Linked DNA regions of Coturnix japonica. The protein of the gene in region 2 interacts with the protein of the main gene of each other region in a biochemical or structural test. Links are inferred from orthologs where the notes say so. Each region holds a gene or a part of one and is shown on either strand. Other genes may lie near its edges. The genes, in order: CDC42, IQGAP1 and BRAF.

Evidence for each region.
Region 1: the proteins of IQGAP1 (region 2) and CDC42 form a complex in vitro, tested with the Homo sapiens proteins (6 studies listed by BioGRID and IntAct). The link is inferred for Coturnix japonica from reciprocal best matches to the Homo sapiens genes IQGAP1 and CDC42.
Region 3: the proteins of IQGAP1 (region 2) and BRAF form a complex in vitro, tested with the Homo sapiens proteins (2 studies listed by BioGRID and IntAct). The link is inferred for Coturnix japonica from reciprocal best matches to the Homo sapiens genes IQGAP1 and BRAF.

What each region holds. Positions count from the first base shown.
Region 1 is NC_029536.1:5,523,435-5,527,053, reverse strand, and holds part of CDC42 (cell division control protein 42 homolog), read left to right. Parts: intron 1-499; coding exon 500-572; intron 573-2,304; coding exon 2,305-2,414; intron 2,415-2,533; coding exon 2,534-2,731; intron 2,732-3,619. UniProt on the Homo sapiens protein: Plasma membrane-associated small GTPase which cycles between an active GTP-bound and an inactive GDP-bound state. In active state binds to a variety of effector proteins to regulate cellular responses. Involved in epithelial cell polarization processes.
Region 2 is NC_029525.1:18,431,722-18,435,812, forward strand, and holds the start of IQGAP1 (ras GTPase-activating-like protein IQGAP1), read left to right. Parts: upstream 1-1,274; 5' UTR 1,275-1,289; coding exon 1,290-1,641; intron 1,642-3,135; coding exon 3,136-3,235; intron 3,236-4,091. UniProt on the Homo sapiens protein: Plays a crucial role in regulating the dynamics and assembly of the actin cytoskeleton.
Region 3 is NC_029516.1:55,345,038-55,349,411, forward strand, and holds the start of BRAF (serine/threonine-protein kinase B-raf), read left to right. Parts: upstream 1-1,464; 5' UTR 1,465-1,648; coding exon 1,649-1,786; intron 1,787-4,374. UniProt on the Homo sapiens protein: Protein kinase involved in the transduction of mitogenic signals from the cell membrane to the nucleus. Phosphorylates MAP2K1, and thereby activates the MAP kinase signal transduction pathway. Phosphorylates PFKFB2.

The DNA.
Region 1 (3,619 bases), on a different chromosome or scaffold from region 2:
TAGGCGTTGGAATTGGTGTTGACCTCCAGCAGAATACTCCTTAATGAGTTGCGGGTTTAGAAGGAAAAGGCTTTGGGTAGGAGCATGTGATCAGCTGTGTTGTAAACAAGTTGTTGGGTGAAACACTTGATGCAGTGTGTGCTTGTGACCTTGTGGGCAGGACGGTTGTGCCAGCTGCTACGCAGGTGCTGGTGGCTTGATCTTCTCAGTTATAGGCAAGAGACGTTACAGGTGTTTTGTTCAGTGGCTTTTATGGTATTAGATGCAGCAGTGTATCTGGTGTGCCTTTACTTTAGAAGCGTGGAAGTAACTCTCGCATCCCTATCACAAATGGAATCGTCCTGTTAACAGCCTCAGTGACAGTGCAGGAAGCTTGATGGATTCTGTCCTGTTGAGATGACTGTTGTACAAATCGGAGGGGGTTCAACATGGTAAGTAGTGTGATGGTTGAAAGATGGCATATTGACATAGCTCTTAAATGTGTTTCTTTCCCGAACAGGTTTTTGATAACTATGCTGTAACGGTGATGATTGGAGGAGAGCCTTACACTCTAGGCCTCTTTGATACTGCAGGTAAGAAACTGAGTGATCATGTCATTGCAACTGCCCTAGGTTTAGCTGAAGTGGTGTTGAATGTAAAGGTAAACCTGATCCACCAAAAGTTGGTTCTTCAGTGAAAGGGAAGAGTCTGCAGGCTTTGTTCATTGTCATTAGACTGTATTGGAGCTCATGACTGGGGTAATGTCCAGTGATTACACATTTATCTGTGTTTATTAGCAAGCATGAGAACTTAACAAGAATGAGTTGGAGCTTACCCAGGACTTGTCCTGTCCCCAGCATGTAATAATACCAGAGCTGTACGCAGCTTCTGATATTGCAAACTATTGTTTGAGTTGTTTTGTCTGAGAACTTGGCTGGTAAAGCGTTGCCTAAAATTGCCTTAGTAGAAGTTAATGTGACTCTTTCCAGCTGTATTGTTACAGATGCATTGTTAGTGTTTTATTAATTACTGGTGTGATCTTGTGCTACAGTTAAATGCTGTGGCTTTAATTATTCTTCACATTGTTCTCACAAGTTTGGTTTGTATGTTCGTACAAACTCCTTAGTTCTCGGATAGGAAGCTCTGTGGAGAAGAAGCCAAATGATTTAGTGCATATAGCTTGATATACTTGGGGAAAATAAAAGCTTTCCTTATGGAGCCAAGCGTCTGAAATTAAAGTGCTGCTGCAATGAAGGTCACCCATATTTTTACTAAACAGTAGCTTCTAGTGCAAGCTACTGAACTTAAATGGATAAAACGCATATTAATGACTGATGTATTGTAAAAACTTTCTGCTGTGAAGACAGCTTTTGGGGTATACTTTCAATTGCAACAAGTTGCTTAGCTCCCTTGTTTGTGCAGTAGCAGTCACAAGCTGTTGAGGTCTCCATCTTCAAACTACAGATCTTCCACTGAGATGTCCCAGGTGTGCTCAGCTCCTTTAAGGTCTCTGAGGTCTTTCTCCTGTATGACAAACAAGAGACTCAGTTGAAATCTGAGTGTTTTTTGAACACACGTTTCTGAGCTGGTCGCCATCTCATGGAGTAGCTGCTTAAATGGGAGCCTTGTGTTGCTTTCGAAGAAGAGTGGTACTGAATTGAGAAGGTATAAAAATGGGCTGCTGCTGAGTTTAGTGGGTCACTGTGAGTGCTGTGCTGCAGGGACTGCTGCTGTCTGATGTGCAGACCCAGAGGGAATGGCTTGGCTTCCATTGAAGCACAGCCTGCCCTGTAACTGTGTGTATTTTTAGGGGATGGCTGCTAGATAGTCTTATTACTACCACACCTGTAACAGCAGTATTCTTCTCTTACTGTTCAAAGAACACATCCTGAAATGTTTTCAAGTGTGATTTGGGACCTCCTAGGGAGCAAAACTGCTTCTGGAACTTTAGTTTTTGTGTGTTACTGAAGTTTGATGACAAAATATATTTTATGGATAGAGTAGATGCAGAAGACCTGACTTATAGCCAGATTTACATTCTGCAGTCTGAGGCTGCTTGACCTAAAAAGAATTTATTAGGGCACACTGCTGACCTTTCCTTCTCTCTTGTGACTTTAAGCAGCTTGTTGTTACATAGCAACTGAATGAATTCTATATCTGAATACAAGGCTCCCTGAATGTTTGGATTCAGGGCATGTGTATTTGCGTAAGAGTTAGAACTGCTCACAATAATGCTTTTGTGCTGGAATGTGTATTCTGACAACCTGGAAAAGGCAATATTTTGCTGTCTGCCTCTAATTCTGTGTTAATTTTCTCCCCTTCTAGGTCAGGAAGATTATGATAGATTACGACCCCTCAGCTATCCACAGACAGATGTATTTCTGGTCTGTTTTTCAGTGGTATCTCCTTCTTCATTTGAAAATGTGAAAGAAAAGGTTGGTTCAACTCTGCCTGTGTCCTCCTGAGAAGGAGCTGCTGCTGTGATTTTAGTAGTATCTAAAGTGTTAAAGTTGACTAGGTGGTCAGTAATAAATACTGTATCTTCTTTCCTTAGTGGGTACCTGAAATTACTCACCATTGTCCAAAGACTCCTTTCCTGCTTGTTGGGACCCAAATTGATCTAAGAGATGATCCCTCAACAATTGAGAAGCTTGCCAAGAACAAGCAGAAGCCCATAACTCCAGAGACAGCTGAAAAACTGGCCCGGGATCTGAAGGCTGTTAAATATGTGGAGTGCTCTGCGCTTACGCAGGTAAGAGTTGGTCTTTGACCATTTCTGCTTGTTTGTATTCTATATATATATTTTTTTCTGTTACAGGGGAAAAACAGCTTGGAGTGAATGTGAAAGGATATGAGCTCCATTTCTGCTGTTGACACAGTAGCTTTCTCTGTCCTGTTGTTCTCAGGCACGAGTAGCTGGCAGTGGTACAAAGCAAATTGGCCTGTGAAGATCAGGCACAAGTGGAGAGGGGAGGTGGAAGATTTGCTTGCTGGGTTTGCTTTTGTATTGGAGCAAAGTAGTTATCTAAAACTTAGGCGGCATGTTACGGACAATAAGTGGGTTAGAATACAGCTCACAACTGAAGAGAGCAGTCACAGGAAAAAAAAACATCAACAGATCTCGGTTTCTGTCTCAGTGAAGTAAGTTTTTTTTTTCCTTCTATGAATAGAAGCTTTCCTAATTGAGAGCTTCTTTCTCTTCTCCCTACCTGGTCTATGGTGATCTGCTTCCTTTGTGTGCCTTAAAATGGAAGTGCTGTTGAAACAGAAAATCCTAATCATATAGCTCTTCAGATATAAATGTGGCTATGCTGTGAACTGATGAGTGAAAATGAGTTTAAAAACATCTGAAATTGTTGACTTGAGGCGCCAAAACCTGGCAGTCCTTTCCTCTTAAGGTGGGGAGGGTGGTAAGTGTTGGCTGGCAGCTGGGATCTACCTTGTCTTTGGATGCCTGGGAAACATAATCTTGTGTCCACTCCTGCACAATATATTGCGACTCTTAACAGATTATTTAATGCACCTCTGTGAAGGATTAGTACCTACTTGATGTACACCAGAGGTGTGCAGTGTCAAATTCTTCACTCTTTGTCATTTTGTTGCACTGATCTGCAGTATCTTGAGCACAGAGCTTTGTTGC
Region 2 (4,091 bases):
ACTGCATCAAGGCCCGGGCACCTCGTGTGCTGCTGTTCAGCTGAGAGCACTGGGCAGCAGAGAATACACAGGAGGAGAAGATCCCTTCTGCTCAGCAGTGCTCCTGAGCATTCAGCTCCTGAGCATTCAGCTTCCTTTGACCAGCATCTGAATTTGTGTGATTCTATCTGGTTTAACACTGCTGAGTTTTAATGTTTCCTTAATTTTTACCTCCCTATTTATTATGTTATGAATAGACATGAAGAAATCTTTTCTTCAGTCTCGTTTTCTCCCCTTTTTTCTCTGGGTACCTCTTTTGTCAGCTGTGAAGTCATAATGTAAGTAGCTCCTCTTCACGTGAAAATCATTCAGTAGTTCTGATCGATACCGCTGCGTTTTGGTGTACTTACATATCTATCAATCTCTATATACATACATATTTTAGAGGAGAAATGTACTCAGGTTTGTGTATTTGCAAGGTGCACAGCGATCTGTCCATCTGCTTAGTAAAGCTGGTCTTTGTAATAATGATACGTTTCCATCTTTCAATCCTTTGGTGCTGAGCCTGTGTATTCTCAAAGCCTTATCTGCATACGACTTTGTATTATGCCAGCTTTCCTTTTCTCTGAATAATGGCCGGTCGGTTTGACGTTCTGTGTTAACTGTAACACTCTGAACGTTCTCCAGGCTTGGATGCACAGCAAAGGCTGGACGGGGTCGGGCGGTGACGTTGTTGCCCAGCGATAGGCGCGGGGCGGGCGGGGCAGAACAGAACAGAGGCGGCTTCCCAACCGAACCGCGGCGGATGGAGCCGGCAACGGAACGAGCGGCTCCTCCCCCGCCACACCCGGTGCTGCAGGAAGAGGAACAGCCGCGCCCAGCTCCCGGCCGGGCCCGGACCAACGCAGCGCTATGGCGGCGGAGGAGGTGGACGGGCTGGGCATGTCCCGGCCGCACTACGGCTGTGAGTACGGGCTGGGGCTGGGGCTGGGGCTCGGGCTCGGGCTCGGCTCCGGGAGTCGCTGCCCCCTCCAGGAGGTTTCCTGACCGGCGTCGCCTGGCCCGAGCCCGTCCGTTCCCGGGACCGCTGCTGGGCGCGAAGGCTCCGGCGGGGGGCAGCGGGGGAGCAGCGGGGGAGTCTCCCGCGGAGCGGGTGCGGCGGGACACGCGAACTCGCCCGAGCCCGACGGGTGTAACGCGGGCGGTGGAGAAGAGCGCCGGGTGAAGGCGGCGGGCGCGAGCGGCGCGGGGCCGTCATTCGCCTCCCGCGCGAGGGTCGCTGCCGTGCGCCGCGCAGCGCCTCGCCCAACATGTCCGCCGCGGGGAGGGGAGCCCGGCGGGGCGGGGGCTGCGCTGCTGCAGCAATCTCGGCGGGCACGAGAAGGGCGCGGCGGGCCGCTGCCGTGGCAGCACGATCCGGCCGCCTCCCTGCCGTGTCGGCGGCGGTGCCTCGCCTACCATCCGAACCGATCGGATGCGATCGGGTGGAGCGCCCGCATCTCTCGAAAATATGCTGGCTAATGGAGAGGGAAGCTTCGGCTCGACATTTCTGTGGCGTATGGTCGCTTGTGCGAGACGTCACGTCAAAAATGAGCAAAGATGGAGCGGGCGCCGCGCGGCGGATGGGAGATGGCGAAAGCGACGGTCGGGGCGCGGCCGCAGGTGGGGTCTGCGGGGCGGGCGGAGGCGGCGGCTCCTCCCCGCTCCCGGCCTCTGCCGCGGCACGAAGCCGTGTTCAGCTCTTGTAACTTTGGGAAAGTCTGATGTAATGGGAAAGATGCGTGTGGCCGCCAAGGGCGGGTTTCTGAGACGTCCTGGCCGTTCTTAGCGAGGCCTTGCTCTGTCCCAAATGCTGTGGTTGATACCTCATCCGTTGGTTTTTGTTTGCTGAGAGTGTTTCAGGTGTAAGTTCGCATTTGACTAATGATGGTACGAGGCGTTTCCTATTTGTCACACTGATCTATAAAACCTTCAAAAACAAAACAATATATATATGGCTTTTTCAGCATGAGAGCGTGGAGGAGGTACTTAGTGTGGCACTTAGTGTGCCTCCGGTGGCGCAGTGGTTAAGGACGCCACTTTGCAACACTGGAGGCCCGGGTTCGAATCCCCCCTGTGGCACAAGTGGTAGAAGTGCCGCTCTGCTACACAGAGGCTCGAATCCCGGGGGTTGGACTCGATGATCTCTAAGGGCCCTTCCAACCCGCACGAGACTGTGGTACTTAACAGTAAGTGGAAAGAGTGTTTGAACATACAGAAATCAGAAAGATTTGGGCATATAACTTAGGAGTTTGATCCAAAGACGATATGCAGATTGTGGATCTAAATTATTATCCTCCAGGTGATGGCTGAGAGGAGTATTTCCATCATTTTAGGGATGAAATATAGCAGTATAGAAGAAATTACACGATGTGAAAATACAGTCGTCCTTTAATCTTTGACTGTCAAAATCAGTAGGTAGGTGGAGAGTGGTGTGTCGCTGATGTGCTTGTGAGGAAGAGAAAGGCAAAGCCAGAAGGAAGTAAGAAAAAAATGGATGGTTTCAGAGAAATTGGAAGATGAGAAAGAGTTGAATCAAAGTCAAATTGAGAAATCAGAGAGGGAAGATGGCACACTTATGCAATAAGGGTGGAAGGGTAAGGAAGCTCTGTCTTTGTTACTTGCAGATAACATATGTATTTGTCTTTTCATTTTTCTGAGACAAATTATGCCTGTGGTGAGTGCCTGTGAGGAAATTGGATATGATTTTTGATACTGGGATACTGATGGGAACTGTTGAGTCCTTATGTGACCCACTGATTGAGCACCTGTGGAAAGGACCGGTCAGCCCTGGGAGCACAGGTGAAGGCAGTTCAGCTGTAGGACAGGAAGGGATGCAGCCTGGCTGCACCTCTCCTAGAGCCCATTTAGGGGCTGACTGCTGCTGGCAAGGGTCTCTTTCTGGAGATCCCCCCTTGGTGCAGCTTTCCCATGTGAATCCGAGATCTTCTGCTCCAGGTGAGCGATCTTCTTCCCTTCCTTTATAGCACCTCTGTTGTGCTAGTCCTTCCATCATCACACCTTTGTTGTAATGCCTTTCCCATTGCATTGATCTATCCAGATGCTAGAGATGTTCAATCTTCTTCTGTCTGAGTATATTTATCTGACTATTTGCAGCTGTTTTGGATAATGAGAGATTAACAGCAGAGGAAATGGATGAAAGACGGCGCCAGAATGTAGCCTATGAGTACCTTTGTCATCTGGAGGAAGCAAAGAGGTAAGGATAAGGGGGTTTCAAATGTCTGGAACTTATAAAGTCATGGTATTTTGTAAGGGGAATAATTTGGATGCGGCTTACCTCCTGTGTATTTCTCAGTGACTGGATAGATTCATTTTGAAATGAACACTAAAAAACTCAACTCTGTGGGCCTCCAGACTGTTTCGCTGCCTCAAGGAGGTAAAAATGTCAGTGCCTCGTAGCAGTTTCTGTTAGGCTCATCTAACGTGCTCTTAAAGCTGTTCTGGTTGGTTGGTTTGTTTGTTTTTTGTGACCAGTACTTCATTGCTCTAGTGCTTTGGTATTCTCAGCACTGAAAGGTTCCTACTATTATCTAACTTGTATTTGTTTTGGTGTAATATTACTTTACTACCTCCTGATGGACATGAAGAACAGATTATTCTCTTTCTCTTATTTATCTGCAACCCTTTACACATGTTTATTTGTAACCTGACTTTATAGGTCCTTCCAACACTGTCAGAAGGAACTATAGTAGCACCATTAAATGAAAGAGAAGGAAATAAGATATGGGAAAGACCGTTGTTATGAGGAAAGTCAAAGCTCTGTCACTGAAAGTCAGACCACCTTTTCTGCTTTTGAAATGTATAGTGGGGGATAAAATATTTTGGTCAGGGGTGTAGACTTGACAGCATTGTAAGATGTCAGCTAGAGGAGCTTGAATCAGTGGTAAGAGTCTTGAAATAACTACCAAACCTTTTATGAGAGCTGAAAAAAGAGATACTTGTGAGATGAGCCTATACTTGAGAAGAAAATTTGAGTTACAAAGATAGGTTGGCTACTATTTTTGGACCAGCAGCAACTAAATTGTGGTCTGGGGGAAGAATATGATGGTGAG
Region 3 (4,374 bases), on a different chromosome or scaffold from region 2:
GAAAGAAGCAGGCTGTCATTTTGCTCTTGCGATGCTGAGCAGGACATGAAAGGGACCTACATGCAAAATCACTCCCTTGCCCCAGTCCTCCCACTTGTCCCATGCCCAAGGCCGTCTCACACACTGCTGTCAAAGCAAAACATAATGACTCTAAAAAAAATATGCTGGAGTCAAATTAAAACTATGTAAATGTGTCCAACTTCATTACAAGAAAAATGCCGAATATTTTAATTACACATGAAAGAAAGTTTGGTATATCAACATTGCTTTTAATGGTAAGATGAAGGATGAGTTAAGAACCTTGTGGGCTGATACTTTCCTATGCTTCCCCTTACCTTATTTTTTTGTCCATTTCCACTCCTCCTCATCGTTTCTGCCAGTGTATTTCATTCAAAGGCAAAGAACCAAAATAGGACAACAATGAGATTGTTCAGCTGCCAAATTTCAATCACCATCTGAATATAACCTGATTTTGCACTGAAGATATGACAATTTGAGGTTCAGCAGGGCTGCGGAATGGGAAATGTCCCAAACTAAAAGCTTGCAAGAGGCTACCAAAGGGAAAAATACATACTGTCTGTACAGAAATAGTGAAAACATCGGCTATGCATTCTCAGTTGCCCAACCTTGGAGCTATCAGACAGAATTCTCTTGAAATACCAAAAGATGTACAGTATATCTTCAAATATAGCGACTGCCAAATATGCTTAAATGGGTGCTAGAGGTAATTGGGCCTCTTTATCTCTTTGTTGTTGCTGTTGTTTTGTCTGTTTGTTTTTGAGATACTGTCATCCACGGAAAGCCAATTACAAATAAGACCAGGAGGAAGTTTCATCTAACAGCCCTTTCGGATATTCTTCTTTTGGGGCATCTCACTAAAACTAATGTTTTCTAAAGGGAAAGGATAGAGATGCGTTCAAATGCCCACAAGGAGATGGCTGCTGGCAGATAACCATCTGATTTTCACTGAATCACTGAAACATTATTTTCTGGAGGTTCAGGTGTTCAGCTGGACAGCCTTTGAACAGCCCATTTTTCTACTGATCTGAACCAAATCATGATGGGTTAAGGTTAGTCCCTGGAACAGGCTGCTCAGGGAGGTTGTGGATGCCCCGTCCTTGGAGGTGTTCAAGACCAGGTTGGACGGGGCCCTGGGCAACCTGATCTAGTAAATGTGTATGTTTGGTGGCCCTGCCAGGCAGGGGGATTGGAACTACATGATCCTTGAGGTCCCTTCCAACCCGGCTCATTCTGTGATCTGTGATGTTCCCGCTGTGTCCACGCAGGGCACCTCAGCACGGCGGTTCCGCTCCCTCCGCTAGGGGGCGCTGCGGGGCGCTGTGCCGTGTGTTGGGCCTCGAGCCCACGTTCGAGTTCCCAGGGCGACGGTCGGTCGCGCCGTGACGTCAGGGTGTTTCCCGGTGACGCCGCGGCGCAGGCGCGTCGATCGCGGCGGCGATTCTGGGTGACGTCACGGGCCGGGCGTGACGTGCCGTGAGGCGGCGCGGGCCGCTGGGAGCTGCCCGGGATCGGCGCTCGCCCCCTTCCCCCTCCCCTCCCGCTACGGGTCGCGGCTGGGGCCGTCCCGGCGGCGGGGACGCGGTTCCCCCTTCCCTCCCCCTCCCTCGCCCCGGAGCTTCGATCCAAGATGGCGGCGCTGAGCAGCGGCAGCAGCGCCGAGGGGGCCTCGCTCTTCAACGGGGACATGGAGCCCGAGCCGCCGCCGCCCGTGCTGGGCGCCTGCTACGCCGGGAGCGGCGGCGGCGACCCGGCCATCCCGGAGGAGGTAAGGCCGAGCGGCTTCTGCCGCGGGTCCCCGCCCCCCTCCCGCCTCGCCGGACCCGGCGGCCGCGGCCCGCACGGCGGCGGAGGGGATCCCCGCTCAGGGGAGGCCCCGGCCCTCCCCCTCCTCTCCGGTGGCGGTGGCGGGGCGGGGAGGCTCCTTGCTGCCTTGCTGCTCGGGATGGGGCCGTCTGTAGGACCGGAGGTGGAGGGATGGGGCTTCCCCGGCCCTCAGCGGGGGCATCGCCGGCCCGCCCGGCTCGGAGAAGACACGGAGAGTTACCTGAGGGCGGCACAGCGTTTGTGCGGCTATTTTATAATCGCTTGGTCCGGGTAGTTTTGAAGCGCTTGAAATAAGCATTAAAAAAAATATATATATAGGGTTTGGAGGGGTTTGTTTTGCGGCTCTTGGCCTGGGTTGTGATTTCTGCTAAGAAACAGCGATGGGCAGCGGCTGTGTGGGTGCTGGGGGTGCCAGGCCCCATCTGCAGCCCTGTGACATACTGCTGTGGTGCGGGGCACCTTATTTAACTTCCCATCCCCAGACGGAGCAGTGCTGCCTGTTCTGCATGGGTTAAAGTCTGAGGCTCTGACACTTGTGAACCATTGTCAGGAGGTGGACTGTGATATGCAGCACCAACGCTGGGTGTTCTGCAGTTCTGAACACTGTAGGCACTGAAGTCTCAGCGATTTGCCATGTATCATATGTCAAGTCTGTTGTAGAGGTAAATACAGCTACCAGAGACTCTGCACCCTCATTCAGGGCTTTGGTCACCGGAGGCCGTTTCAGCTCAACCTTCCTGAGCAGGTCTGTGTGATCCATACAGCTCTCTGAGCCCTGAGCAGCACTGAGCTCCCTGCTGCCTTGGGGCAGGCCTTTCTCTGCCCCTACCTCCACTCAGAGAGGTGAGTAGGCCTTGGGCTCACCAAGAGCTCCATTTGACTCCAGCTCACTGGCTAATAATGCTTTTTCTGTATTAATAGCATTATGGAGTAGCATAGAATTCATGCGTTGGGAAATTTGGCAAGCACTAGAGCTCATGCTGAGTAGGTGGCTAGAGAGAAGAAAAGGGAAGGAGGCTTCCCCTGTTGATGCTGTTGGGAGGTAGGACTTGCCCGTCTTAAGGAGCCACCTGCTCACCTTGCTGAAGGAAGGCAAAGCTCAGCACTGTGCTCATACATTGCACCTCAACAGCAGGGTGATTAAGTGCTTTGTGTAATGCAAGTCCACTCTTAGCTTTCCTGAGTAAGGAAAAACTCTTTGCTGATTGAGAAACCTAAACAGACTAGACTTTAACAAACACCTTCCTTCAGCAAAATGAGTTTCAAAAGCATCTCATTGGCATTTGTTGCCCTGATCGTGCTGGTGCAGCTCTATGTGGAAGTGAATTGCTGTGTTATTTCCGCCATAAAAAAATAACATAAATATCAGCGGAATCGTTACAGTAACTGATTTATTTTGTGGCCCTGGGTTCAGTCATGGTAATACAGCTGAGTGGGGCAAATAAACTGCGGTGCATGGGAGAGAATAGAGGAAAGCAGTGGCATTAGAAAAGAATTATTCGAATCTCTTTTTCATCCCTGAAGAGATGTCGCTTCAGCTTCAAAACTGCTGCTGTAGGTCATCAGGTTTCACTCCAAATGCAAAACTACACAGCAAGGGGTTGCTTTGGTTTGTGTTTTTTCCCCCTTTGTAGCTTACATCTCTGTAAGGAAGAAAGAGAAGCAGCAGGCTGCTGGAGGGTTCACTACCTCTCAAGTACGGGTGCATAAATGCATGGTTAAGGGGAGTGTGCTGTTGTTACTGTATTTATTTTTCCCCAAGATTTTGTTCTTTACACATTGGAAATAATGAAACACGCAGGTCTGAGGCAGAGCTGGTGCTGGAGTTTGTGTTTTTTGATGTGGTTTTGGTGGTCAGTTAGCCAGCTCTGCCTCATGTCGTAGGTAATTACCTTTTGTTTGCAGTATGGATGTTACGCCATCTAAACCCGGTTTTAATAAAGCGTGAGATCAAATAATTGCTGATCGAGTTAAAGTGAAAACTGTTCTTAATACAAAAACAAGTCAGCGTAACCATAACACAGATGCAAGGTGACATAAGTCAGAAAATGCTGAAGTACTTAGATCTGACTCATGTAAATGCGTGTTTTGGTGTTCTGTTTCCCTTCAAGAGAATGTAAATCTGGGCTTTAACAGTAACCTTGCTGTGAAAGTGCATCAGGGAGCACAAGTTCACGTATTTAGAGGAGGCACCTAGAAGGGCTTTAGTTCCATAGTTCCCTCTGCAGTCCTGAAGGAAACACAGTCTTGATTTCCCAGAGGAAGACCTTCCATTCTATGCTAAGTTTGTAGCTGTAAGAGGAGGGCGGACAAGGAGGATCTTTGATAGACCTTAAAGCAGGAGACACAAACGTGTCGGCTGAAATCGTATGGTAAAGGAGCTGCTCTGTGTCAAGATCATGAACGAATGCTGCTTAAAACTACATCAGTATCGCCTACGAGTTCAAGGCTTGGAGTTGTGACAAACCAGCTTGTGGCACTTCATTCGACTCGTGGTCAGTTTTGAACTGAATAATGGATCCAGTGCTT